4 linked regions of the Notamacropus eugenii genome follow. The protein of the gene in region 4 purifies or fractionates together with the protein of the main gene of each other region. This does not show direct contact. Links are inferred from orthologs where the notes say so. Each region holds a gene or a part of one and is shown on either strand. Other genes may lie near its edges. The genes, in order: USE1, SCFD1, RINT1 and STX18.

Evidence for each region.
Region 1: the proteins of STX18 (region 4) and USE1 purify together in Homo sapiens (co-immunoprecipitation; 4 studies listed by BioGRID and IntAct, counting the BioPlex papers as one, with this or other methods). This does not show direct contact. The link is inferred for Notamacropus eugenii from reciprocal best matches to the Homo sapiens genes STX18 and USE1.
Region 2: the proteins of STX18 (region 4) and SCFD1 purify together in Homo sapiens (affinity purification with mass spectrometry; 5 studies listed by BioGRID and IntAct, counting the BioPlex papers as one, with this or other methods). This does not show direct contact. The link is inferred for Notamacropus eugenii from reciprocal best matches to the Homo sapiens genes STX18 and SCFD1.
Region 3: the proteins of STX18 (region 4) and RINT1 purify together in Homo sapiens (co-immunoprecipitation; 6 studies listed by BioGRID and IntAct, counting the BioPlex papers as one, with this or other methods). This does not show direct contact. The link is inferred for Notamacropus eugenii from reciprocal best matches to the Homo sapiens genes STX18 and RINT1.

What each region holds. Positions count from the first base shown.
Region 1 is NC_092875.1:60,616,158-60,623,077, reverse strand, and holds the start of USE1 (vesicle transport protein USE1), read right to left. Parts: upstream 3,012-6,920; 5' UTR 2,914-3,011; coding exon 2,737-2,913; intron 1-2,736.
Region 2 is NC_092878.1:47,285,681-47,293,194, forward strand, and holds the start of SCFD1 (sec1 family domain-containing protein 1), read left to right. Parts: upstream 1-4,510; 5' UTR 4,511-4,588; coding exon 4,589-4,646; intron 4,647-7,514. UniProt on the Homo sapiens protein: Plays a role in SNARE-pin assembly and Golgi-to-ER retrograde transport via its interaction with COG4. Involved in vesicular transport between the endoplasmic reticulum and the Golgi.
Region 3 is NC_092874.1:150,325,949-150,333,069, forward strand, and holds the start of RINT1 (RAD50-interacting protein 1), read right to left. Parts: upstream 3,003-7,121; 5' UTR 2,160-3,002; intron 968-2,159; 5' UTR 957-967; coding exon 783-956; intron 1-782. UniProt on the Homo sapiens protein: Involved in regulation of membrane traffic between the Golgi and the endoplasmic reticulum (ER); the function is proposed to depend on its association in the NRZ complex which is believed to play a role in SNARE assembly at the ER.
Region 4 is NC_092877.1:61,756,609-61,763,583, reverse strand, and holds the start of STX18 (syntaxin-18), read right to left. Parts: upstream 3,007-6,975; 5' UTR 2,895-3,006; coding exon 2,721-2,894; intron 1-2,720. UniProt on the Homo sapiens protein: Syntaxin that may be involved in targeting and fusion of Golgi-derived retrograde transport vesicles with the ER.

The sequences.
Region 1 (6,920 bases), on a different chromosome or scaffold from region 4:
AAAGTGAAATTTCAGTGTGTCCGACTGTTGGGGGTGTAAGCTCAGTTCCATGTGGACAGTCTCGGGCAGGTAAAGGTGAGAACTTCTAAACCTTAGAGTTCTCATGAGGCCCCCCAGGGAACAGCAGGGAATTGAGGTGTGAGACCGGGATATCGCGTGCATTTCCACCTCTTCCCGTGGGAAACGTGATAGGAGAGAGCATCCCCGCCCTCGAGATTGGCCCAGATCTGGGCACACCTATTGTTATCTAACAGGCACGGTATTGAGGTGCAAACGATGCGGCAGGAGAGCTTAAGTAGGGTCAGGAAAGCCCGAAGGCACGCTTAGCACTGAGGGGCCCTTACAGGACAGAAGGCCCCTCTTCCTTCTTTCCTCTCTTCGCTCTTCCCTCTCCCCTCTCTCCCCACTTCCACTTCTGCTTTCATTCTCTTACTGTAAGATCTTTGCCTCCTTGGGAGATTTCTCTCTCTCCTAAGGAAGAGTTCCCCCTGCACATGTAACCAAGACCCTGAATAAAGCCTAACCCTTGTTCGACTCTGGAAAGTCTCTTCTCTCATACGTTTATCCGGTTTGGCCAGCCGAAGACCTGCGATAGGTAAGGTAAGACTCGGGTAGCCCTCAGGCCTCTAGGCCTGGCATCCGACTATGGCTGATCAGACCAATACGAGCTTGGAATGCTCTACCACAGGTTGGGCACAGATAGTCCATGTGAATATTTGGGGTGGATATTCCAAATTTGTGCATCCTGCGTTTACTTTGTGCTGTCTCAATTCTGCTTTGCTCGAAGAGCACAGCACCTTTTCTTATGTGTGCATGCCATGCTGAGCAGTCCTGTGCCAGTGTCTCCCATGTTGCACAGTCAAATCCAAAGTTCTTGAGAGAAACTTTGAGAGTGTCCTTGTATCGTTTCTTCTGGCCACCATGTGATCGCCTGCCCCATGCAAGTTCTCCATAAAATAGTCTTTTTGGCAAGCATACATTTTGCATTTGAACAACATGACCAACCGATTGGAGCTGCACTCTCTGAAGCATAGTTTGAATACTTGGCAGTTCAGCTCGAGCAAGGACTTCAGTGTCTAGTACCTTGTCCTGCCAGGTGATCCTCAGAATCTTCCTAAGACAGTTCAAATGGAAGTGATTCAGTTTCCTGACATGGTGCTCGTAGACTCTCCATGTTTCACAAGCATATAACAATGGATCTGTAGACCTTCAGTTTGGTAGTCAGTCTAATACCTCTTCTCTCCCAAACCTTTCATTGGAGCCTCCCAAACACTGAGCTAGCTGTGTCGATGCATGCATCAACCTCATTGTCAACGTGTACATCTCTGGAAAGTACAGTACCAAGGTAAATGAACTTATCCACAGTATTCAAAACTTCTCCATTTGTTGTAACCAATGGTTCCACATATGGATGGTATAGTGGTGGTTGATGGAGCACCTGTGGGTTTTTTTGTGTTAATTATCAGGTCAAAATTAGCATAGGCAGCAGAGAATTGATCCATACTTTGTTGCATCTCAGCTTCAGAGGCTGCATTGATTGCACAATCATCTGCAAACAGAAAATCACGCACCAACACTCCCTCCACTTTGGTCTTGGCTTGTAGCTTTTTCAAACTGAAGAACTTACCATCAGTACAGTAGTGGACCTTGATACCATGTTCATCATCATTGAAAGCATTCGTCAACATGGCTGAAAACATCATGCTAAAAAGTATGAGAGCAAGCACACAACCCTTTTTCATTCCATTGGTGACTGGGAAGACACGAGAGCATTGTCCACTATCCAGAACCCGAGCAAACATGCCATCATGAAATTGACATACAATAGTGATGAACTCGGGGCAACCAACTTTTGACATAATTTTCCTTAAGCCCTCACAACTAACAGTGTCAAAGGCCTTGGTCAGAGCTACAACCATTGTGTACAGACCTCTGTTTTGCTCCTGGCATTTTTTCTGGAGTTGTCAGGCAGCAAACGTCATATCGACTGTTTCACGGCCCTTTCTGAAGCCATGTTGACTCTCAGGTATATGACCATCTTCCAGGTGAAGGATTAGCCTATTGAGGAGGACTCTAGCAAGAATTCTGCCAGCAATGACTAAGAGAGAGACGCCCTGTGATTGTCGCAGGACAATGTATTTCCTTTACCTTTATAGAGATGGACAATGGAGGCATCCTTGAACTCCTGGGGGATAACCTCCTCTTGCCATATAACCTGGAAAATTTCAGTCAGCTTTTGTATGAGCAATGGTTCCCCCACCTTGTAAATCTCAGCTGGAATAGAATCAGCACCAGGTGAGGGGAGAAGGGAGAGGGAGAGCTCCGTGTGAGGAATGGACGTCAAAACCAGGACAGGATAAGAAGAGGAAAAATGGGAATGCGACCCCCAATTCTAGCTCTACCAGGCTGTGTAACCTTGGGCAGGGCATTAAACTTGGCAGGATATCAGATTTCTTGTCCGAAAAAACGGGAAGTGGGGAAGGACGGACCAGACAGATTGTTCTCACTTTACATTCATTGATTTAGACCCTAGGCCTAAAATGCCTTCCCTCCCTCCATCCATCCCTCTCCTCTCTAATTAATATGCCACTTCCGGGGGGGGGGGGGGGGGCAGGACCGGAGCGGGGTAGAGCCAATCAGGGGCCAGGAGGGCGGGACCGTGCCTCGGTGGGGGCGGGGCGGCGGTGGGCACACCTCTGCCCCTTCTAGCCTGGGGTCCCCCGCGGCGCCTCCCACCTTCTCCAGGCGCCACTCGCTCGGGTCGCGCTTCTCCGCCGCCAGCGCCTCGCAGCGGCACAGCAGCCGCACCAGGTTCAGCTCCAGCCGCGGCACCGCCATCACCGTCCCTGCGCTGTCGCCAACTCCGCCACGGCTCAACCAAGCACGGGCGGAAGAAGGCGCGCCCGCCGCCATATTAACTAAGGGCGGGAGGAGGTGCTTCCGCCGCCATGCCCGCTCCAGCCGAAGGCGTCTTGACTCTAGGCGGAAAATGACTGTCGGTCTAAGAGCTACGGGCGGAAGAAGCGGTTTTACGACCATACTTAGTGCGGGCGGAAGGGCATTCCGAGCTTCCGGTTAACCGCTCCGCCCGCGCCATCTTAGTACGGGCGGAAGGGCATTCCGAGCTTCCGGTTAACCGCACTAGCCGCGCCATCTTAGTACAGGAGGTAGATGATGGCGCTGGGCAACGTTACCACCGTAGGTGGAGTCTGGCACCATCTCACCTACTGGTAGGAGTTCCTGTCGCCATGTTACCTGAAGTCTTCCAGTGGCTTTCTCATGTTCCCCATCACACTCTACTTCGTAGGATTCCTGAATAAACGTCAGCTTTCTTTGCCAAGCCTTCGTCCATTTCACGCATGCTAACTACGGGGTCGCAATGGGTACAGTGTTGAGACTGGAGTCAGAGGGCCCTGGGTTCAAATCCACCCAAAGACACAAGCTCTGGGACCCTGGGCAAGTCACAACCCTCTTTGCCTCAGTTTCCCCGTCTGAAGAAATGGCAAATCACTCCAGGAGCGCTGCCAAGAAAACCCCAAAAAGGGCTCCCAGAGAGTTGGACACAACTGAACAAGACCTTTGTCCATCCAGCCCTGACCTCTCTCGAGCTCTAGTTCTAAAAGGAACGACCAGGGGGTGTAGTATAGAGAGCGCTGGGCTTGGAATTGGGAGACTTCAGCTCTAATCCTCCTGAGAACATTGACAAGCTCTGTGGTCCATGACGTTGTGAGCTAGAGGGCAGGGACTATCTTTGTAGCCTGTCTTTGTATTATTCTACAGTGCCTGGCACACAGTAGGCACTTAAATGCTTCTTGATTGTTCCTGGGCAACTCCTCTACCAGCCTCAGTTTCCTCAACTGTAAAATGTAAGAAACTAATAGCACTTACCTCCCAGGGTGATTAAGATCCAATGAGCCAACATTTGTAGAGCACTTAGAACAGTTTCTGGCATGTTCCTTCCCCCCCTCCCCTCCTACTTCTAGTGTCAAATCCCGACTGTCTTTTGGACATCTTGAACTGGTTATCCCATAGTTATTTCAAACTCCACATGTCCACAACTGAACACATTTCTTAACCCCCAAATGCTTGACTCTTCTGATCTTCCCTAGAAGACACTATTATTTCAAGATTGGTATCATTCTTGACATTTCACACTTCCTCACCTCCAATATCCAATAGTCTACCTTCCCACCTCGCCTATGGTGTGCCTTTCTCTCCATTCACACAGACACCGCTTCCCCGGATTAATCGAGCAGGCTTGGGGTTGATCTCCTTGCTTCATTCCTGAGCGGCTACGGTGGACTTTTCTAAAGGTTATGTCTGACCAGTCCCGTCCCCTCCCCCCCAGAGCTCTAGGGGCTCACTGTTAACTCCAGAATCAAATATAAATTCCTTTGTTAGGCATTTAAGACCAGTTAGAGGACACCATCATCTTCCCAGTCCTTCAGGCTTGCAACCTAGGAGTTAAGCTCAACTCTTCACTATCTCTCACCCTCCCATACCAAGGGCTGTTGATTTCCCTTCTGCCACCTCTCTCAACTATTCCCCATTCTCTCCTCTGACACTGCTACAACCCTGGTGCAGGTTATCACCTCATGCCTGAACTTTTGCAGCAGCTGCTGATGGGTCTGCCTGCCTCAAGTCTTTCCCTACTCCAATCCATCCTCTATTCAGCCACCAAAGTGATTTTCCTAAAGCACATGTCTGACCATATCATTCCTCTACTCAACTCCAGACATTCCCTGTTACCTCCAAGAGCAAATACAGAGTGCTCTGTTTGACATTCAAAGCCCTTCAAAACCTAACCCCATCCCACCTCTCTAGTTATCTTACACCTTCCTCCCTAACAGGTACTCTTTGATCCAGAGACATCGTCCTCTTGGCTGTTACTAGAACAAGGCACTCATCTGTCAGCTCTAGGCATTCTGTCTGGCTGTCTTCCATGCCTGCAATACTCTCTCTCCTCTGGTCAGGCTACAGCTGATCTCCCTGGCTTCCTTGAAGTCCCAACTCAAATCCCATCTTTTACAGAAAGCCTCTCTCAATTCCTCTTCATTCTAGTGCTTTCCCTCTGTTAATCATTTCCTATTTATCCTGACTAGAGCTTGGATGTTGTCTTCCCCATTAGATTGTAAACTCCTTGAAGGCAGGAGCTGTCTTTTGCCTCTTTTTGTATCCCTAGTGCTTAGCACATGCCACAAATTATTAATGTGAATTGATTGATAATGTGGCCCCTTCCAAACTTTCCAATCTTCCTACCCTTTCCTCCTGTTCACACACTCTTAGGTCCAGCTACCCTGGCCTTCTTGTAGTTTTTCCAACACAGCATTCCATTTCCTTTCTCTTGGCTTTTGCCCTGACTGTTCTTCAAGCCTGGAACACTCTCCCTCTTGGCCTCCATCTTTATTTGTTTCCCTGACTTCTTTCAAGAGTTGATTTGAATTCTACCTTCTATAGGAGGCCTTTCCCAGTCCCCCTGGCTGCTAGTGCCAACCCTGGGCAAGGGAAACTGAGGCAAACAGGGTTAAGTGACTTGCCCAGGGTTACAGGGGTCTTCACCTTTCATCTACTTTGCACATAGGGGGCAGCTAGGTGGTGCAGTAGATACAGCACCAGTGCAGAAGTCGGGAGGATCTGAGTTCAAATCTCACCTCAGACACTTGACACTCACTAGTTGTGTGACCTTGGGCAAGTCACTTAACCCCAATTGCCTCATCCTGGGTCATCTCCAGTCATCCTGATGAATATCTGGTCACTGGATTCAGATGGTTCTGGAGAAGTGAGGCTGGTGACCAGTACAGCCCTCCCTCACTCAAAACAAAGTCAAGTGCAAGTCACGTCATCATTCCTTTAATGGCATGGTCTTCTTTGGCAACGAAGGATGAACACACACACACTCTGTACATATGTTGTTCATACCTCTTGCCATTAGAATGTGAACTCCTTGAGGGTGGGGACAGCTTGCCTTTCTTTAATGCTGACTACCTGTGGGCTTCCCTTTCAATCCAGTAAATAGATGGAACACCCACAGTGTGCATGGTACCGATACTGGGTACAGACATGAAACAATCCCTAACCTCTAGGCATTACATTAGCGGGCACGATGGATAGAGTGCTGGACCCGGAGGCAGAAAGACTTGAGTCCAAATACTCCTTTAAACACTTATTTGCAGTGGGACGGTGGATAAGTCATTTAACCTTTATCTATCTTGGTTTTTTCATCTGCAAAATGAGAATGAAAATAGCACCTCCCCGCAGGATTACTGTGAGGATGACATTAGGTATTTGTAAAGTCCTTTGTAAACTTTCGTAAAGCACTATATAAAAACTAGCTCTACTTAGTGTTCTTTGGAGGAGGGGTGAGTGGAGAGAATATAACAAAAATAGCTAAGTCAGGATGAAGAGTTTTACCACTGTGGCTCATGTTTGATTCCATCAGAGACCCAATTCTCTCCATGGAGATCAGCATCTGGCCTCTAGCTTAACAGGGCCGCCCGTGAAGGAAGGAAGCATTTAGTAAGCACCTACTATGCGCCAGACAGTATTAAGTGCTTTACAAATATGATTCTCACATAACCCTTGTGAGGTACATGCTATTATTTTCCTTATTTTATAGTCAAAGAAATGGAGGCAGAGTTTAAGTGACTTGCCAGGGTCCCAGAGCTAGTGTCTGAGGTCAGATCTTCCCAACTCCAGGCCTAGCACTCTGTCCACTATGTCACCTAGCTGCCTCTTGAATCTGAATCTTCTTGGCTCCAAAGTGGGCCCTTCATACCAAGGCTGTTGCTAGAAAGTATATACAATGTCATGTTAAGCAGACAGTACTAATGATGGGAAGAGATTAGGGATTAGGATCACAGAATCAAAGAACCAGGGGGGAGCTCCAATATCACCTACTCCAACCTCCTCTTTTTAGAGGA
Region 2 (7,514 bases), on a different chromosome or scaffold from region 4:
TTTTGAAAGTTAGACTTATTTATATTGACATGTTTTTCAAATGAAGTTGTGTCTTAAAATTTTATGGTTTCTGGAACCTCCTTCAGCAAATCTTTACTTCTCGTGGATTCACTTCTCTTGGATTCACTCATGTTAAAGCCTTTAGGTAATATGATATTGTAAGTCTTTTACTTTCAATTATGTCTAAACAGAAATCAGTTAGTGATTTTACTTTTCATATGCTCATATTTATATATTTCAAAATTGTACCTATGAGTAAGTTTGGTTCTTTTTTCACTTGAGCACGTTTCTTTTAATCACTAATTTTCTAGGATGTCTCCTGAGACACCTTTTGGGTCTGTGCTATTTATTTTTCTTTTCAAACAAAACTGAGTCATTGATGATTGAATGATAGGACTTCATGCTAACAAAAATCAATATAAAAAAAGATAAATTTGCCAGGTGACTTTGCCTTTAGTGTTTATTCATCTGAAGGAAAGTAATTAGAATAAGATTTACTCCCTCTGTAAACAGACCACATTTTTAATGGTTTCTTTATTGTTACTCTCTGATAAATTGTGCAGTGTTCTGCTTGTATTATCAAATGTAAAATATTTCCTTTCATTTGTTTGATAACTTACTTTTAATGTATGTAGTTTATGTCCAGGATTTATACAATTTAAAATTTGCTTTAATCAATCTCAAATTTAATTCTGCTAGTGACAGTTTTATATACATGAATTATTTTTTAACTTTAGGCAGCATGGCGGAATGGATAGAGAGCTGATCTCTAAGTCAGGAAGACTGAGGTTGGAGACATGAATCTGATACATCCTGGTTTGTGTGACTTCTCAGTGCCAGTTCCCCAGGCATCTTTTTAAGATTATAAATTGTAGAGGTGCTGGAGGCCTACATTGGTAGAGGGAGTGTCTTCACCTGAGCAGTTCTCCTACATTAGTGAAATTAATTTCACTTCCTATGCTTAAGTACTCTAAATTGTACAGATTGAAGTACTGAAGAGAAACTTAGAAAGAAATGTCTTCTAGTTCTGTTGACAGCCTTTCAGTACATTATAACTTTGTCTGCTCAGTTTGATATGCAAATTTGGGTCATTTGTAATAATGTCTCTGTTGCATAGGAAGTGACCAGAAAAATACATGAAGCATTCTTTTGTGTAAACTTGACACCTTAGGGCTTTTCGTTCATGAATCTATTCTGACAAGATGGAAAGATTCCTTTTGTACAAAAAACTAACTTCTATAAAAGTTTTATGAAACTGAACATATGGATAGGAAATGCCACATAAATGAGGCAACATTGTAATTAAATCTTCAAATAAGAAAAGTAGCACTCTGAAGTTAATTCATTTCTCACTTATCCTCAAGAGATACAAAAATTTCATATACACACACCCTCCCTGTCCCCCCCCCCCATGTAATGCTTGTTTACCTCTTAGTCCTAAATGTATGCGCTACTGTGCCCCAGGGCTGGCCAGTAGTGGAGAGCCTGTTTCCATAGCAAGCCAATAGCCAAGCCCCAACCCTGGAGCAGTCAGGCTAGGTCATTGGGGAGACTCCACCCCTAACCCCCCCAATACAAGCCAAAAAGGAAGCCTGCCCTCCAGAGAAAGCAAGCAGCTAAGCACTCAAGCCCAGTGAAAGTCCCCAGTAAGATCCAAAGCCCCAACACCAAAAGCTTGGGATAGGGCAGGACTAGAGCCCAACTCTCTCATAAAAACACCAAGCCGTAAAAAAAAAGGCAGGAAAAAAAATGACCAAAAAAAATTTAACTATAGAAAGTTACTATGGTGATAGGGAAGATCAAGGCATAAACTTAGAAGAGGTAAATAGCGTCAAAAGGGCTACATGTGAAGCCTCAAAGGAAAATGTAATTTGGTCTCGACCCAAAAATTCCTAGAAGAGCTTAAAAAGGATTTTAAAAAGCAGATTACAGAAGTAGAAGAAAAATTGGGGAAAGAAATAATTGTGATGCAAGAGAATCATGAAGACAAAGTCAGTAGCATGGGAAAAGATAGATAAAATTTACCAAGGAAAATAACTCCCAAAAAATAGAATTGACCAAATAGAAAAGGAAGTAAAAAAAGCTCACTGAAGAAAATAATTCCTTAAAACATCAGGATTGAACAAGTGGAAACTGATGATTCTATGAGACATCAAAATAGGATAAAACAAAATCAAAAAAGTAAAAAAAAAAATAGAAGTTGGATGTTGGTTGGGGATGTGGAAAAACTGAAACACTAAAGCACTGTTAATGGATTTATGAACTGATCCAACCTTTCTGGAGAGCAATTTGGAACTGTGCCCAAAGGGCTATAAAATTGTGCATACTCTTTGATCCGGCAATATCACTGCTAGGTCTGTATCCCAAAGACATCCAAAAAAAGGGAAAAGAACTTATTTGTACAAAATTATTTATAGTAGCTGTTTTTATGGTGGCTAAGAATTGGAAATCAAAAGGATGCCTATCAATTGGGTAATGGCTAAACAGGCTGTGATTGTAATGGAATATTATTGTGCTAGAAGAGATGACAAGTAGGATGATTTCAGAAAAACCTGGAAACTTACATGAAGTAATATGATGCATTAGTGAAATGGACAGAATTAGAAGAGTTGTACACAGTGATACCAATATTGTTCAATGAAAAACTGTGAACGATTTAACTGGATCTAGGACAATCCCAAAGGACCAATGATGAAGCAGACTATCCATCTCCAGAGAAAGAATGGATATTGATTGAATACAGACTGAAGCTTCTTGTACAAAATGACTAATGTGGAAACATTTTACATAATTGCGCAGATATAACCAAGATCTGATTGCTTCCCATCTCAGGGCGGGGGGAGCGGAGAGAGGAACAGAATGTGGAACTCCGAAGTTTAAATAAAAATGTTAAAAAAAAATTGAGGATCTGAATATAGATAGTGACAGATACGAACACTATGAGACAGTTCTCGTTTTATGCAAATTTGCATTATGCAAATTCGACTTTACATAAAGAATTCTAAAAGACATGGGAGAAGGTAGCAAGCATAAATGAAAAGAGTTGGGGAAAAAAGTGTGCCCCACATTCATTCCTGATTTTCATGGATCTGACAAAGGTGAAATGTTCAAAGAAGTAACAAGGTTGTGAACTTAGCACAAGAACTGGAGCTAGAGGCGGAAGAGAAGGATGTGGAGGAGCTGACTGAGTTATGATCTGATTGAGTGGTTAGCTGCAAAGATTGCGGAAAAAGAAAAGGAAGCTGGGAAACCCCAGATCAGACCAAAAAGATTCCCAAGCATTTCATCACTGGAGTGAATTTTTCTTGTATTGAAAAGACAGATCCAAATACCTCAAGATTTTTACAAGTTCCAAGGCAAGCTGAGGATTAAATTGCTTGCTATCATTATGTATATTTAAGGGAGAAAGGAGAGCAACTGTCCCAACATTTAGATAGCTTCACTGAAAAAAGGGAAAGGCTGGGTTCAGTGGATGGGGGAAGGGCGAACCTGTTAACCTTACTGTACAGCACTGTGCATGCTTTATTATTACCTTTAATCTCATAATTCTGTTTCTTATCGTGGTACAGTATTCAGCCTGTCTGTCTGTCTGTATTTTACGGCCTGTAAAGGTGTCCTTTTGCGCATGTTTCTGTTACACAGCCCAAGTGAGAGGGGCGGGTGGGCAGGAGCAGACTCACATTCCCAGTGGGGGTCCGCAGAATGGTCAAAGGGTGTTACACGTTCACGCGTGACCTTTGTGTGGGCTGTTCAGTTTTCCATCTCTGGCGGGCAGATTAAAATATCAGTGAATACGTTCAGGCCACTTAAAAGATTACTTAGAGTAGGACTAGCAAGCATTTTGGAGCGTCATTTTTCTTCAGTATTGGGTCATTTCTAGGACAGGTAACCAGGAGCGTTTTGTGATTTCACTCAACCGTGGGTGTGGAAAATAAAAACAGCTGCCGGTAGGAAAAAAGGATGGCTACATTTGAATAGCGGCCATAATTTTATTGTAAGTTTTAGGTGTGTAAATAGCCATTTAAAATGTACACTGCCAACTCTGGTGAAGCTTCAGAACTGATTGAGCAGTACGTCAGTGTTGATCCATTGATTACGGGAGATGAACTGTCATATGTACCCATTTTTTGAAGTGCAATAAACTCTAAGGATTCAAACTGAAAACTGATTTGGGGTGATTTGTAAAATAATAGTTAAATAAATTCACGCACCTTTTTCTCGAGGCATCCTTCCCCTCCCCCACTTTCCCACAAGGATGGGTCTGCTTTAGCACCGTCTGGAGTCTCCACGACCGAAGGGGAAAAGGCCAAAAGGCCGACGATTAACTCGTGGGATCACCTGCCACACACGTGACAGCCCCCCCCTCCCCGAGCGACCCGCTTCCCACCCTGCAGCACGGCCCCATCCGGGGATTTTAAAAATCTCGGCGCGCGCAGCGCGGGCCCGGAGCCACGTGACCCCATGACGCAGAGGAGGCGGGGCCGGCGGGCCACGTGTCCTCGGCCGCGCCGCTTCCCGCCCCCTTTCCTTCCGGGGGCGTTGGGGCAGCCACGTCATCCTGCCGCTCCGGGCTTCGGGCCGGCGGTGAATGGTGGGAGTCAAGATGGCGGCCGCGGCTGCAGCCAGCATCCGAGAGAGGCAGACAGGTACCCGCTCGCTTCGTGCCCCCGCACTGCTCCTCCTCCTCCCCCCCGCCCTGGGCCGGGCTGTGCCGGCCTGGCCCTGCCACCGCGGGGGCGGCGGGAGCGGGCTCGGCTCGGCTCGGGCAGCCCCGGCTCCTGCCCCGGGCCCGCTCCGCTCCGCGCCTCACCCCTCCGGACTCGGGCCCCCGGCGCTCACCTTCCCAGCCTGCGGGCGGCCGCCACCCGGCTTCCCCTCTGCGCCCTGGCGGGGCCTCCCGGAGCCGGGAGGAGTCCCCAGGGGTCCCCCGGTGCACGGATTCATCCGCCCGCTCAGGGGGACGGGCGTCCTGGGGTCGGGCAGGGGCGCTTGTCCGTGGGGGGCACGCTGCTGCCGCCGCTGCTTGGGTCGCTGCCGGAGGTGCTCAGTGGCGGGGGCTCCCACCTCCCACGCCCTCGGGGGGTTTGGCCGGCTGGTGGACCTACGTGGGCGTTACACCCAGGGGCGTGTTTCCAGGATCAGGTGGGCCTGCTGATGGCCTTGGTTCACCAACTTACCTGACCTCCCGCGGGTGCACTGAAGACGCTGGTGGTTTCTGGCATCTGTTGCCCTTTCGTGCGTCCTTCCTCCTACTTTTTAACGAGTAATCTGGTCTTTGGATCACAGGGTGTAAAAGACTTGCCAAAGTTTCATTAATAGGAGTAGCAAAATTAGGATTAATTCCTAGATTCTTAGACTTCAAATTTAGTGTTCTTTCTAATATACTACCAGATGTGTGAAGTTTTTATTATTCACTCAGCAAACCCTATCCTATGTTTTAAGTACAGTGAGTAGACAGTCTAGCCAGAGAACAGTAGCGTTATGGAGGATGTGGGAGACATGAGATTGAAAAATGTAACCCCAGGGATTTGTTTTGGACTCCCTTCTCTCTGCTCTCTTGATAAGCTTAGCTTCTCCCTTTTCAGTTTCACCCTGTCTCTGCTGCTGAGTCTCAGATCTATAATTTTATCCTCACTTTTGCATTCTAAAGTCCATTTTACCAACTGCTGGATATATATGTATATGCACATATATATGTATGAGTGTGTATATATGTATGCATACATACATGCACACACACACATATATATCTATATACACACACATATACACATATATCCATTATTACCAAATGCTAGAACTGTCCAGCCATTTTTAGTAACCCCTCCAGACTGCGCCTGAGACTTTGCTTTGAACTTTGCTGTCTTCCAAACGCATTTTGCAAAGCCCTTTCTCAGGAAAATTGTGCCGAGGGCTTTAGGGGACCATGATGGAGCGTCCTAGTAATTGATAAAATTGCCTCTTCTTTTTACCATCTCCTGCTCACAGCTGGAGTCAGATTTGGTTGTCTCCTCTAATGAGCTTCACGCAGGAAACACATCTTGCTGTGGTAGAAAGAACTTCTGGATTATGAATCAGAGGCCAGAGACTTGGCTTTCAATTCTAGCTTAGTCACTTATTGTGTAACCTTAGGTTAAATACACTTTCATTCTGGGCCTCAGTTTCCCCGTCTATAAAGATATTTGACTTCCTAAGTTCCCTTCCAGTTCTTTGCTGTTTCCGTAGTTCCCTGTTAAAAGATTTTGCTGAAGTTTGAAGATGTATTTTTTTCTCTTGTTTTTTCCTTTTTAAAAATTTATTTTTAGTTTTCAACATTCACTTCCTGTTGTTAATTGTCCATTTCTCCCCCATGGCTTATGCTTAGTTTTGCTGAGTAGATGATTCTTGGTTTTAATCTTAGCTACTTTGACCTCTGGAATTTCATATTCCAAGCCTTCTGATCCCTTAATGTGGAAGCTGCTAAATCTTGTGTTATTCCGATTGTGGTTCCATGATACTTGAATTGTTTCTGGCTGCTTGCAGTGTTTTCTCCTTGACTTGGGAACTCTGGAATTGGGCTATAATATTCCTGGGAGTTTTCATTTTGGGATCTCTTTCAGGAGGTGATCAGTGAATGCTTTCAGTTTCTCTTTTACTTTCTGTTTCTAGCATAAAAGGGCAGTTTTCCTTGATAATTTCTTGAAAGATAATATCTAAGCTCTTTTTTGATCGTGGCTTTCAGATAGTCCAATAATTTTAAAATTATCTTTCCTGGATCTATTTTTCCAGGCCAGTTGTTTTTCTAATGAGATATTTCACATTGTCTTCTATTTTTTTATTCTTTTGGTTTTGATTTGTAATTTCTTGATTTCTCATAGAGTCATTAGCTTCCATTTGCTCCATTCTAATTTTTAAGGAATTATATTCTTCAGTGAGCTTTTGATCCTCCTTTTCCATTTAGCCAATTCTGTTTTTTAAGGCATTCTTCTCCTCATTGGCTGTTTGAACCTCTTTTGCCGTTGGGCCTAGTCAATTTTTTTTTAAAGTGTTACTTTCTTTGGTATTTTTGGGGATCTCCTTTAGCAAATTGTTGACTCATTTTTCATGATTTTCTTGTATCACTTCTCAATTTTTCCTTTACTTCTCTTAGTTGATTTTCAAAAGCCTTTTTGAGATATTGCATGGCCTGAAACTAGTTCATATTTTCCTTGGAGGCTTTGGATATAGGAGCTTGGATTTTGTTTTTTTTCTGAGCGTATGTTTTGATCTTCCTTGTCACCAAAGTAAGTTTCTATAGTCTGGATTTTTTCTGTTGCTTGTTACTTTTCCCAGCCTTTTTCTTGACTTTTTAATTTGTTGTTAAGGTAGGGCTTTGCTTCCAGTGTGGATGGCACACTGCCCCAAGCTTCAGGGGTTTTATGCAGGTGTTCTCATAGATACTTCTAGAGACCTATAAGTTTTCCGTTCTTTCAAGGTGGTATAATCAAAGTGTTTACTCCTCTGGCCTGTGCTCTGGTTTGTAGGTTATCACAAAC
Region 3 (7,121 bases), on a different chromosome or scaffold from region 4:
GGTCAGGGAATTTGGGGTTCGAGAGAAAGCCCTGTAACAACTAAACAACTAGGGATTCTCTGTGTCACGCAGAACCAGTAACATCATTCACTCTAGACTGTAGCTTGTTTATATTTAAATGTGATAAAATAAGAGGAAAATCAGTAAAAAGGTATTGCTATACACAGAGGGGAGGGGAGGATAGGAGAGGGCAGGGGAGGGAAGGGAAAAAGAGGAAGTTTTTCCTATATTTAGAATGGTACCGTAAGATTTACTACAGATTCCCATATTATGGAAATATAAGAGATTAGGAATGCTAATCTTGCATCCATTTTGACAGCGACATAGGTAAAAATATATTTTAAACAACAATATATTACAAAAAGTATGCACTGTTCAGGGAAAAAAAGAATATGGACACAGAATTTATTTTTCACCAATGTAGTAGAAAGAAAATTTCTTAATCTTTGCCAAAAAGACAATAATACAACTAAGTGTAAAAGCATTTTAAAGTAATTATAATAAAAGCTCCATAAAATGTTACCAACATTACCAACATCATTTTTCCAATTACATAATGTCATTCAAGTAGGAAATTTGTCTTTTATTTATTTTGCAGAATACTTAATAGGTGGTGGATCCTTTATAAATTTAAGAGCTATACAACTATTACCTAACTCTCCTGATCCCAAAGTCAAAATGCCATGAATATTTTTCCTGTTTTTACCAACAGCTATTCATTCTACATAAATGTGCAAGGAACTCATCAAATGTACAATTCAATTTTAATTTTTAATACTTACCTGTTCTTCTAATTGTACTTTATTGTTTGTCAACTGTTCTATGAGTTTTCCAAGTTTCTTTAAAGATTGAAGATCATTTCCAACTTCCTTTTCCACAAATTCAGACACGTAGGAGGGGATATCACAGGTATCTACATCTTGGTTGGTCTGTTCTTTTCTGACAGGAGCTGCCATTCTTAGATCTCCTAATTTTTTTTTAAATTGTAAAGCAAAAAATTTACTGAATAACAACAACTGTATGCTACAGAACATACACGTGACGGCACACTAGAATCACTCAGACGATCCACAAGCATTTATTAAACTGACACTTTGGTGTAAGATGTGCGCTCTAAATCCTTTAACTTCCATGTGCTTCAGGTAACTCTCTAAGACTTAGCTACTAAGTTACAGGCTGGTAACAAAGATTTATCATATACAAAACACCATATGGGAAAAGGGTCATCATCCGACGGGGTAAATAATGTGGGAGATCATTGATATTTCTTGCCTTTCCTACACCTCAAGCTTTAACTACTGCCACAGCCTTCTGACTGGTCTCCTGCCCAGTCTCTCTGCACTCCTGCCCACCCCTGATCTTTCCTAAGTGTATGACAACTTCTACCCTTCCCTCAATCAGCTCCAGCAGCTCTCCAGGACATCCAGATGAAACAGAAAACCATCAGTTAAACTTGGCTCCCTCCTACCCTTCTCCCTACGTTCCCCCACCAGGACACGCCGCCTTTCTGGCTCTTTCCCACACCCAACACTCCATCCGAAGCTCCTAGCATTGTCACCGGCTTCATCCTTCTCCCAGCCTCCCAGCTTCCCTGGCCTTCCTTCAAGTCTCCATTAAAGTGCCACCTTTCTCAAGTCTCCTTACTCTTGGTGTCCCCGCCCCCTTAGGAATTATTTATTAATCTGCGGATGTATTTCCAGTTCACCCTGTCGCGTTTGTCTTTATTACTCAGTTTTTTTACTTCTCTTGTTTCTACAAGCTGCTGGCACGCCGCGTCCCTCCCCGCCCCGCCCAGACTGGCACACGGTGGGCGCCCACCAGTCTGCATTAGGGTGGTACAGGCACAACGTCCAGATCGACCCTGATCACAGAGAAAGCTTTGGAGACTTTCAGCTATTAACAAGTTGTAAAAGTTCAGAATTCACGGACCCCCCCAGAAATGCACCCCCAAGTCCTCCCTGACTTTGCAGGCTGGAAAAGCTGCAGTGGAGGGAGGTCAGGTAACTTGGCCTGGGACGGGTAGGTAATAAGCGTCAGAGCTCGGACTCGAACCCAGGACACCGCACCGCAGCCCTCCCGGGCGTAAGCCGCCTGGGAGGCTCTCGCGGGCTTTACTTAGGGGAGGTCCTTCGCCCCCGGCCCGCGTGGTCTCCCCTGACCTCGGCTCAGCGCCGGCCGCCGTCTGCTCTCCGTCTTCTCGGCTCCATGCGCAGCCCGCCTGCCCGGGGCAGCCTGTGAGAGGCGCCGAGGGAGCCCCTCCAGGACCGGACTCGCAGACGCCGAGACGGGCGTTTCACCCGGAGGATGCCGCGGTGGCCGCCCACGCCACTTCCTCTCCCGAACTCGCTGACTCCTTCCCCTCGTTCCCAGAGGAACACACTCTTCGTTTTCCCCGGCCGCGGATAACTAGCCTGTGGCGCCACCGCCTGCCTGGAGGTCGCGCTGCAGTTCTTACGGGGAGGCCAGACAAAAACTGGTCCTGATGCTAGTCTAAGAACTTCCTAGGAACCTGGGTCATGGTCGTAGTGATAGTACTGGTAGTAGTTGGTTGGTTGTTGTCCTTTATGCTTGAAGAAGACCAAAATGACATCACTATGTTGGGGTCAAGGTACGGGGTGTACTGTGGCTGAGCTTGGGAGACTACCATAAGTCCAGCACAAATGAAGATTTGGAGTAGAGATGCCTCTAAAAAGTAGCGGCAGCAGCAGTAGTAGCAGCAGTAAACATCAAGAATTACCAATAATGACATCGCATTATATGTAACATTTACATTTACTAATCATAAGCTTGCATGTTGTATGGAGGCAAACAGAAGTGACATGGTGGATACAGGGCACTGGACATAGAGTCAGGCTGACCTGAATTTGAACCTTGCTGGACAAATGGTGCTGTGTCTCTCATTCTCAGTTTCCTCATCTGTAAAATGGCACCTACCTCACAGGGTTGTGGTGAGGATCCAGTGAGATAACATATGGAAAGTACTTTGACTTTGCAAATCTTAAGGCACTATATAAAATGTTAGCTATTGTTATTACTAATGGATCACAAATCTTGCAGATGATGGTTGAGAACAGTTGTAGTAGCAAGGAATACTGCTTTATGCACCTAAAATCCTCTGTATTTTATTTTGAAGATTTAAACAATAAAATCCATAAGTGCAGTCACACCATTATAGTTTTGTGAAGTTGAAATACTGTGAAATTGTTTGTTTTTTTTAAAGAAAAAAAATGCCAATAGTACCACCTTCCAAATTTTGCATGATGGCAAATATATGCAACCAAATCTCCCCACCCTAATGGCATGGCATTTGGGATAACTGGTCCATTGTTTTTCTATGCCTTTTAACTTTGCTCAAAGGAGACAAGTGTCCTGGCCTTTATTAAGGGTTGTGGGTACCCAAAATGTGGGCTGTTAGTCACTAAGGAAAGTGGATAATCCAACACAAACTCCTATCACTTCTGAGCGATTCACTAATATCACAGATTTAGAGCTGGTAGGAGTCCAAACTCATTCTACAGACAAGGTAACTGAGACCCAGAGAGGTTAAGAGACTTGCCCAGGGTCACATAGTCATAACTGACAAAGTCAGAATTTGAACACAGGTCCTCTGACTCTTAAATTCATTGATCTTTCCACTGAACCAGAGTTCCCCAGATGACTCTGTGCCTCCATTTCCTTATTTATCCAATGAAGAGGCTGAATTTCAAGGTCCAATTTTAATGATCCCTGACTCCATGACTCTACCTCCACCTCCTTCACTCCTTGATTATGACAACTGAAGAGGTATTCCTGGCCCTTCCAACCCTTCTCTGAAGGAAAGTATTGTGTCTGAAAGTATTATATAATATAAAGTATTATATCTGAGACTTTGAGGATCCTAAGGCAAATACAATTTCCCAAATTTTCTGCTTTCTAATTTTGTCAAGAGTGATTCTCTTAGACACTCTTCAGCAAAGAAGATGAGCTCAAGATTAACTCAAAATTAATAGAAATTTCAAGATTAACTAGGAATAGAGGTTAGGAAGAGGAAGAGGAAGGTTAGGAACTAGGAAGAGTTCAGTTCCTGTGCAATGATACAAACATCATCTGAGATTATTAGAATTTGGAACCCCAGTTAAAGGCAAGAAAAAGGTGGAGTTTTTTCAAATGAACTTTTTTAGTTAGGATCTAACTTTTAACTGCTTTGTTAAAAAAAAAAAAGTGAACACAAGATGGGATAAACAAACAAGAGTTTATTCAGGTGCTGGGATTTATTTCCTAAAATGTGTATTTAAAATTTGTATTTAATTTCCTCCTTCCCCCAGTCATCTTCATCTATATCCTGTATTCAGACCTCAGTCACTGACACTTAACAACTATACTTTTGGTAGTATAATACTTAAAAAAAATAAAGTGAAGAGGAATGAAAACAAACTTTTTTCTTCTCCATTTAAGGTTGTAATTTGGTAACATTTGGATTTTAATAAATGAGCTTAGTGACAGACTGAATCTGTTGCATTAGAGGACTATTTTATCAGATTTAGAGAGAGTCACCAGGGGAAGATTGACCATAGACTCATGAAATGACTAAGGTCTAGAAGGGGTCGAAATCATCATGGGTGGCATTACCCATGGGGACGATATCAGAGGAGCCTCAAAGAATGCATTTTAATACTATCCAGGAAAATTTAAAACATGAACAGAAAATTGGTTTCCTGGTTCACATGTAGGTCATTATGCAGTCTGAACCTATATTCCTCTCCTCTCCTTTTCCATCTCTTCCTCACTCCTCCAAAACAGAATTTTCATCTTCTAATCACTGGTCTCACCTGCTCTTCCACTCCATCACCCTTGCACTGGTCTTATTTTTCTCCTTTCATGATCTTGACTATTGGGAAGAAATATATGTGAACCTCTCTTAAAACAAACAGTTGGTATAATGATTGTTGTACTAGGGAAAGATGTGCTTTTCAGGTAAATTAATACTGGAATTTGGAGTTACTACTGAACTGCCACCCTGACTATATTTTTTCTAATTAATTCATTAATTTTTAGTTTTCAACATCCACTTCCATAAAATTTTGAGTTCCAAATCTCTCCCCATCTCTCCCCTCCCCCACCCCAAGACAGCCTGCAATTTGATATAAGTGCTCCGTATACATTCATATTAAACCAATTTTCACATTAGTCATGTTGTAAAGAAGAATTAGAACCAATGGGAGAAACCATGAGAAACAAGAAAGAAACAAAAAAAGAAAAAAGAGAGAGCAAATAATGTGTTTTGATCTACATTCAGACTCCATAGTTCTTTTTTTGGATGTGGACACCATTTTCCATCATGAGTCTTTTGGAGTTGTCTTAGATCCTTGCATGCTAAGAAAAGTCTATCTGTCAGTCATCAAACAATGTGGCTGTTACTGTGTACAATGTTCTCCTGGTTCTGCTGACTTCACTCAGCATCAGTTCATACAAGTCTTTCCAGGTTTTTCTGAAATCTGCCTGCTCCTCATTTCTTTTTTTTTTTTTTTCTTCTTTTTTTCTTTTTTCTTTTTTTTTTTTTTATTTAGCTTTTAACATTCATTTTCACAAAATTTTGGGTTTCAAATTTTTCCCCTTTTCTCCCCTCCCCCCCCAAACGCCAAGCATTCTAATTGCCCCTATGACCAATCTGCTCTCTCTTCTATCATCCCTCTCTGCCCTTGTCTCTGTCTTCTCTTTTGTCCTGTAGGGCCAGATAGCTTTCTATTCCCCTTTACCTGTATTTCTTATTTCCTAGTGGTAAGAACATTACAGCTGATCCTAACACTTTGAGTTCCAACTTCTTTAGCTCCCTCCCTCTCCACCCCTTCCCTTTGGAAGGCAAGCAATTCAATATAGGCCAAATCTGTGTAGTTTTGCAAATGACTTCCATAATAGTTGTGTTGTATAGGACTAACTATATTTCCCTCCATCCTATCCTGTCCCCCATTACTTCTATTCTCTTTTGATCCTATCCCTCCCCATGAGTGTTGACCTCAAATTGCACTCTCCTCCCCATGCCCTCCCTTCTATCATCCCCCCCCACTCTGCTTATCCCCTTATCCTCCACTTTTCTGTATTGTAAGATAGGTTTTCATACCAAGATGAGTAGGCATTTTATTCTTTCCTTTAGTGGAATGTGATGAGAGTAGACTTCATGTTTTTCTCTCACCTCCCCTCTTTATCCCTCCACTAATGAGTCTTTTGCTTGCCTCTTTTATGAGAGATAATTTGCCCCATTCAATTCTCCCTTTCTCCTCCCAATATCTTTCTCTCTCACTGCTTGATTTCATTTTTTTTTAAGATATGATCCCATCCTCTTCAATTCACTCTGTGCACTCTGTCTCTATGTGTGTGTGCGTGTGTGCATGTGTGTGTGTGTAATCCCACCCAGTACCCAGATACTGAAATGTTTCAAGAGTTACAAATATTGTCTTTCCATGTAGGAATGTAAACAGTTCAACTTTAGTAAGTCCCTTATGACTTCTCTTTGCTGTTCACCTTTTCATGGTTCTCTTCATTCTTGTGTTTGGAAGTCAAATTTTCTTTTCAGCTCTGGTCTTTTCATCAAGAATGCTTGAAAATCCTCTATTTCATTGAAAGACCAATTTTTCCCCTGAAGTATTATACTCAGTTTTGCTGGGTAGGTGATTCTTGGTTTTAGTCCTAGTTCCTTTGACTTCTGGAATATCCTATTCCATGCCCTTCGATCCCTTAATGTAGAAGCTGCTAGATCTTGTGTTATCCTGATTGTATTTCCACAATACTTGAATTGTTTCTTTCTAGCTGCTTGCAATATTTTCTCTTTCACCTGGGAGTTCTGGAATTTGGCCACAATGTTCCTAGGAGTTTCTCTTTTTGGATCTCTTTCAGGCGGTGTTCTGTGGATTCCTTGAATATTTATTTTGCCCTCTGGTTCTAGAATCTCAGGGCAGTTTTCATTGATAATTTCATGAAAGATGATGTCTAGGCTCTTTTTCTGATCATGGCTTTCAGGTAGGCCCACAATTTTTAAATTGTCTCTCCTGGCTCTATTTTCCAGGTCAGTTGTTTTTCCAATGAGATATTTCACATTATCTTCCATTTTTTCATTCTTTTGGTTTTGTTTTGTGATTTTTTGGTTT
Region 4 (6,975 bases):
TGCTGCTATAAATATTTTGGTGTATGTGGGGACTTGTTTCTTATTATTAGGTTCATTGGGATATAAGTTCAGTAGTGGGGTCTCTGTTCCAAAGAGTATGTAGACATTTTAGTCCCTTTAGTCGCATAATTCCAAACTACTTTCCAAAATGGCTGTACCATCTCACAGCTCCACCAACAATGTATTAGTGTTCCTATTATTCCACAACCCCTCTAACATTGAGTACTGCCATATTTTGGTCATCTTTTCAAATCTGTGAAGTAAAACTACAAGCTTCCTTTGATTTACATGTCAATCAATCAATCAATCAACATTTATTAAGCATCTGCTATGCACCAGGCACTATGCTAAGCACAGGGATACAAAAAGAAGCAAGAGACAATCCCTGTCCTCAAGGAGCTTAAAATCTGATGAGGGAAACAACACGAAAACAAATATATAACAAGCTATGTACATGATAAATAGAAAATAATTCATAGTGAAAAGGTATAGAATTAAGAGGATTTAGAAAAGACTTCCTCTAGAAAGTAGAATTTTATTTAGGACTTAAAGGAAGTCAGGGAGGTCAGCAGTCTGAACAGTGGAAGGGAGTGTTCCAGGTACAAGGGAATGCCAGAGAGAATGCCTGGAGCTGAGAGATGGAGTGTCTCATTCATGGAACAGGCAGAGGCCATGTCACTGGGTTAAAGAGTATGTGTTGGGGAGTAAAATTTAAGAAGATTAGAAAGGTAGGACTAGGTTATGATGGACTTTAAATGTCAAACACAACAGAAATCTTTTACACAGAAAAGTTAATGCACTTGCGATACAAAGGGAAGTAAGCAAGAAAAAAGCTTTGTATCAAATTTCTCTGATAAGGATTTGGTATCCAAGATATATAAACAAAACTATATACATACATACACATACACATACAGAGGGAGTGTGTATATCATTTCCCTTCGTATGCTAGGTGCGCTCATTTTGTCTCTGCAATCTGGACAAAAGCCTTTAATTTTTATCTTTGTAACATCTCTCACATACATTCCCTTCTCTGACACTGCCACACCCTGGTGTAGGCCTTTATCGCCTAGACTATTACAAACAGCCTGTTGCTTGATCTCCCTGCCACAATTTTCTCCCCACTCCATTCCATCCTCAGCTGTCAAAGTGATCTTCCTAAAGCACAGGTCTGCCCATGTCACCCCAATCAATAAATTCCAATGGTTCCCTGTTACCCCTAGAATTAAATATAAAAAACTCCATGTACTCTGTGATGCAATGAAATTGGCTTCCTTGATATTTCTTCCATGTGACATCCCATCTCTCAACTCCTAATATTTTCACTGATTGACCCTCATACCTAGAAATGTTCTTCCTCATCTGTGCCTATTACCTTCCCTGAGACTTCAAGCCTCAAGCTAAAGTCCCACCTTTAGGAAAAGCCTTTACCAGTCCTCCTTAATCTTAGATCCTTTCCTTTGAGACTACCCTTAATTCATCCTGGATAAATCTCATCTGTACATAGTTTGTATATTTTCACTCCTACTAGAGTGTGAGTTAATCAAGAGCAGGGGGTGTTTGAACCCCCAATGCTCAGAACAGTGCCTAGTATATAGTAGGCACTTCATAAAACCTAGCTAACAGGCATTTATAAATTTACAAACAAGTAAATACATACATATTGGAGATACCTGTTTAAAAACATTTTAGTAAGGATGCACAATAAAAAAAACTGGAGGACATTTATCTGATTCAACCTGTTCCAGAGAGAATGAGCCTTCCAATATCCACAAATGTAAGCATCTAAGCCTCGGTTTTAAGACCTCCAGTGAAGAGGAAGCCCATTTCACCTTTCATTAGGATCACAGTACTATAAATTCCACTAGTGCTGGGGGGAGGAGGGGGTCCTCAGAAGCCATCCAGCCAAGGCTTCTCATTAAAGAAACTGAAGCCCACGTAAGCAAAGTTACTTACCAAGGTCACTGGGATGGCATGTGTCAGAGACAATATTTTAAAGAACTATATCCAAAGCCTGTCCCTCATCAACCTGTACTCATCCACCTAAGTTCTGACCTCTAGGCCAAGTCTAATCTCTTTCACAGGACAATCACTGGTACACTTGAAGAGGCCCATCCTATGTCTGCCTGGGGCAGGGACCCCACTCATCTCCCACCACCTTACGCTGATTCATATGATGTCAGGACCGGAAGGGGTTTGGGGATCATTCCCTGCAGTATCTAGGTGACACTGTGAGGAAGCCACTTGGCCTCTCTGTGCCTCACTTTCCCCATCTGTGAAATGGGGATAACGTACAGCACCCACCTCCCAGGGTGGTTGTGAGATAAAAGGAAACACACGTAAAATGCTTTGCAAATCTTGAAGCAGGATATAAAGGCTGAGGAGTTGCGGTTACTAACAACTAACATTTCTACGGCACCTTATGGCTGTGCCAATACGGTGCCACCCTCCTCTTACAGACCAGACACCTGAGGCCCACAAAGGTCTCAAGCCATCCACGAACACGTAAAAAGCTAAGTGCCAGCCTTCGGGAGGGACCTCGGGGACCACCGGGTGCCGCCGCGTCCTTCCACAGACGGGGTACACTGAGTCTCGCGAGGTTTCACCGACTGACAGCGGGAGGAGACCAGAGGGAAGCCCAGGAGCCCCGCTACTCCACGCGGCTACCTTCCACGGCCGGGCCCCCTCCCCCTCCTCCGTTGCCCTGGCAACTCACTCACCACTTCCCGGGCCCGGCTGGAAAAGTCCCCTTTGGGGCGGGGGCTCCGGCGAAACAGCTCCTCCCGGGCGCCGTCCGAGCCGCCGCCGCCTCCGACGGCTACCCCCAGGGCCTTGTTCCGGGTCTTCACGGTCTTCACGCTGGCCCGGAACAGCAGGGTGATGTCCACCGCCATGGCGCCCCGACTTCGCAGCCACCGTGTCCGCCCGGCCCCGCCCACTACGGAGACAGAGGGGGCTCCGTCCCTCCGACCCTCCCCCCGGCAACCGCTGTCAGGCAACCGAGGTTCCGCGCCCGTCCCAGCCGCCGGAAGTAGCGGGCTACCTGCGCGCTCCCGGGAGGCGCTCTCCCCGCCCCTTTTCTCGGGAGCGCGCACGCCACGCCACGCCACGCCCCTCCTCTCCCCCCACCCCCCCCACCATCTCACGGGTGTCTGCGCTCCGGGCATCCGCTGGCCTGGGAATCCCGGGAGTGTAGAGGGGGTGGGAGGGAGCCGCGGGGCGTAGAGGCCGGCAAACTGAGGCCCGGAGAGGGTGCGTGACCAGGCGAGGTTCGGGTCCAGGGGGTCGGACTAGGCTCAGGGCCCCGGGCGCCAGATTAAACGGGAAGCCGCCTGAGGGCAGGCATGGAAGGCGCTTAATAAATGCTTGGACCCACCCCCTTCACGTTTTTAAATAATTAAAGCAAATGCTAAATTTCAGGGAGACTTTAGTGAAAATAAAAACGTCACCTTCCCCCCCATTGCTGGTCGTATATCCCTCTGAAATTTTACGGGTTTTTGAACCCCAGGTTAAGAGCCCTGATCTGGCCCAACCCCCCCTTTTTATTTTACAGATGGGGAAACTGAGGCCCAGGCTGACTGGTCCGCTGGTCCAGACCTGTGTTCTAAATCCACAGAGGTTGTGGAAGCTGCCTGAAGTCCTGCAGGAGATGGTTTATTCACGTCCGTGATCAGCCACCTGCCAAGGGTCCTGCCTTCAAGAACCTTACATTCTGAAGGGGTGAGCTGGAGTCGCCTTCACGCCTAGTTTAAGCTTTCTTTTTCTGATCAAGTTACGATTTGTGGCTCCCCGACTCATCGTGAGGACCTGAGAAATAGTGACGTGGTGGAATGTATAACAATAACCAAAATCCTAAATGTGGTTCTGAGCATCTGCCCCTTTTGGTGCCTTTTTCTCCACTCCCATCCCATCCCCTGTCATTGCAAAAAAACAAAAACAAAAAAAGGCTGAGGGCCATTTAATTTTTTTTATGCAGTTTCAGTGACCTAAGAATCCATCAACTAATAGCCAGGCTTCCATATTTAGCTAGATTGACCCTCCAGGAAACTACTAACTTATAATAACCAGCGTTTATAGAGCACTCTAAGGCTTGCGAAGCACCCACAACAATACTGTAAGGCAGGTGCTATTATGTCCATTTGACGGATGAGGAAACAGGCTGAGAGGTTAAATGTCTTGCCCAGGATCTCCTAAATGACTGAAACAGAACGGGATCTCAAGTCTTCCTGACTCCAGGTCAGCATCTTTCCACGGCCCCACCTAGCTGCGTTGTCTGCTTCACAGAAGTTACAGGAATTTGCAGTCCCCCGGAAATAGCCTTTGAGGCTCCAGAGTCTCTTCTACACTACAATGAATCACTGAAGTTCATCTGGGGAGGTCTGGTTCCACGGAATTTGGAACATTAGTAGATGCATTGTTGAATTCTGACCAATTCACTTAGTGTTATTCTGAAAAGAAATAAAGAAATGTAAAAAAAAGCAAGACTTTGGTATGTTAATTAGATGCTCATTCAACAATAACTTAACTGAGTACCTGTGCTGTGCAAAGTTTATTTTATTTTGTTTTTAGGAACTTGGGTTCACTTTGCTTAGGAATTCAGAAAATTGGTGACTTTTTTCTAGTTTGAGGTTTGGCTCAAGAGTGAGGTATCGCTGAAACATCCAGGGGTGGTGTGTTTCGTGACTTTCTAAAGCAAATCTAATAGAGGAATGAGTGTACATGTCAAGAACTTAACTGCTTAGAAATAGGAAAAACGTGAAAAACAACGGCAACTATGCATTTATGCCTCTGTGGTTCTGTTGTGACTGACTCTCTGAGACCCTATTTGGAGTTTCCTTCACAGAGATACTGGAGAGGTTTGCTATTTCCTTCTCTATCTCATTTTACAGATGAGGAACCTGAGGCAAACAATGGTAAGTGACTTGCCCAGGGTCACACAGTTGGCAAGTCTGAGGCCAGAGTTGAACTCAAGAAGAGTCTTCCTGACTCTACGTCAGGTACTTTAACCACTGCACCATTTGCCTCTGCCGTCACCCAACCTGTTTCTCAAACCAGAGTGAGTATCTCCAGTCTTCCAAATGTTCCATGCCAACTCCCTAGCCTAAAATGAAGACAAAAAAACTTCTCTTTTCTCACTCCACCTTCTTCAAGCTTCCTCCTCTCCATCTCCAACTCTTATTATCCCCATAATATTAGGCATATCCAGAGGTATGCAAATTTCCTCAAAGCATTCAAATTGGAAAGAGAGAGAGAAAAGGAAAATATATAAGTAACTGCTATAGCTAACTAGTTATGTGACCCTGAGCAAGTCTTTCAATCAATGTCTGCCTCAATTTCCTCCTCTGTAAAATGAGGATAATAACATTAAACTCCCTCCATTGGTGTGAAGAGCATGAGATAATATTTGAAAAGCTCTTAGCACAGTACCTGCCTGGCACATAGTAAGCATGTCCTTCCTATAGAATAGATATGTTTATTGCCTTTAAGGCACAAGCACATATAATTATAATTCCATACACTATCTGATGAGTGCATTGGAGATTTGCAAAGTGCAATGTGGATTTCAAGGGAGAAAGTCATTAATAATTAGAGATGGTGAGGATTTTGTGAAAGTACCAGTCTTGACTGATTTCCCTTTCTCTTAATTGTTCATTCCCCAAAGATCAATCTGTTCTTCATCTTGGATCCCTTTTGCCTGACTCCATAGGAAATCCGTATTGTCCCTTAGTCTCCTTGTCTTAGCTGAATATTGGCAGGTAGGGATTTCATATCAGGTACAAAATCAATACCTGGGAGATCTTCTTGAGGAATGATTTCAGATGTTGGAGAAGTGATCAACATTCAATGTCTATTCACCAACATTAGCAGCAAATATGCTAAACAAAGAAAGGAAAAAAATGGTTACATGGTAATTGCCACTTTAAAGTGAAAGTAGAGCACAATACACAAAACACATGTTTCTATGAGTGATTTGTTGAAGGATATATAGCACAACTGCCCAGGCTCAAAGATCATGGAGAAAGGGCTGCCTTAAATATTTTTCCCAGACCTTTGAAGAAATCTTCCCATCTTCACAGAAACAGGATGTCCCACATTTGCTGAGGTCAGGAACCATGATTTCGAGGCTGATCTTAAAGCATTTTATAAAATACTAACTATTAAATGATAATTGGCTAGGAATAATAATAATATATAGATAGCACATACTAGATGTCAGACACTGTGCTAAGTGCTTTACAATTATTGCCTCATGTGATCCTCACAATAACCCTGGAAGGGAGGTGTTATTATTACCCCCATTTTACATATGAGGAAACTGAGCGAAACAGCAGTTAAATGACTTGCCCAGGTTCACACAACTCATAACTCTAAGAGCTCAGATACGATCTCGGGTCCTCCTTGCTTCACAGGAGTTGGATGCACTGCCTTCTCACCCTTTCCTGCCTCAGCTATCACGTCTTTTTGTCACAGCCTGCAGTCACAGGGAGCAGACTATGAACTCTTATCACCTATGTTTTCAGCACTGAGCTACAGCACATGTTTCTTCCCACACATCCAAAAAATGCTTATTCAGGTAGATGAGAAATATGTCCAGTTTGGCACACCTGTTCTTTTCCATGATCATTTCTGTTACCCTGCCAATTTCTAGATCTTCCTTTTAAGTTAAGTGTGAGAGTTCATTTCACTAATAAATAAAATCATGTAAATAATAGTTTTAACCTGAGTTAACCAGGATAAGTCAAAACTCTGGGGAAACTGTTAATCCATTCAACAGGCATCCATTTATGGTACTGGAAGGAATAATGTAGAAAGTTCAAGTTCGCTTTCCCCTCATCCTTCATTCCCTTGGAATTTTTGTTCAACTTTTTCCTAATAATCTGCCCCAGGAGTTTCACAAGTCATCTTATAAAAAATCATCAACATGGCAGAAGCTAACTGCCTGATACAGAGTGGAAATTCCCCCTAGAAAACTTC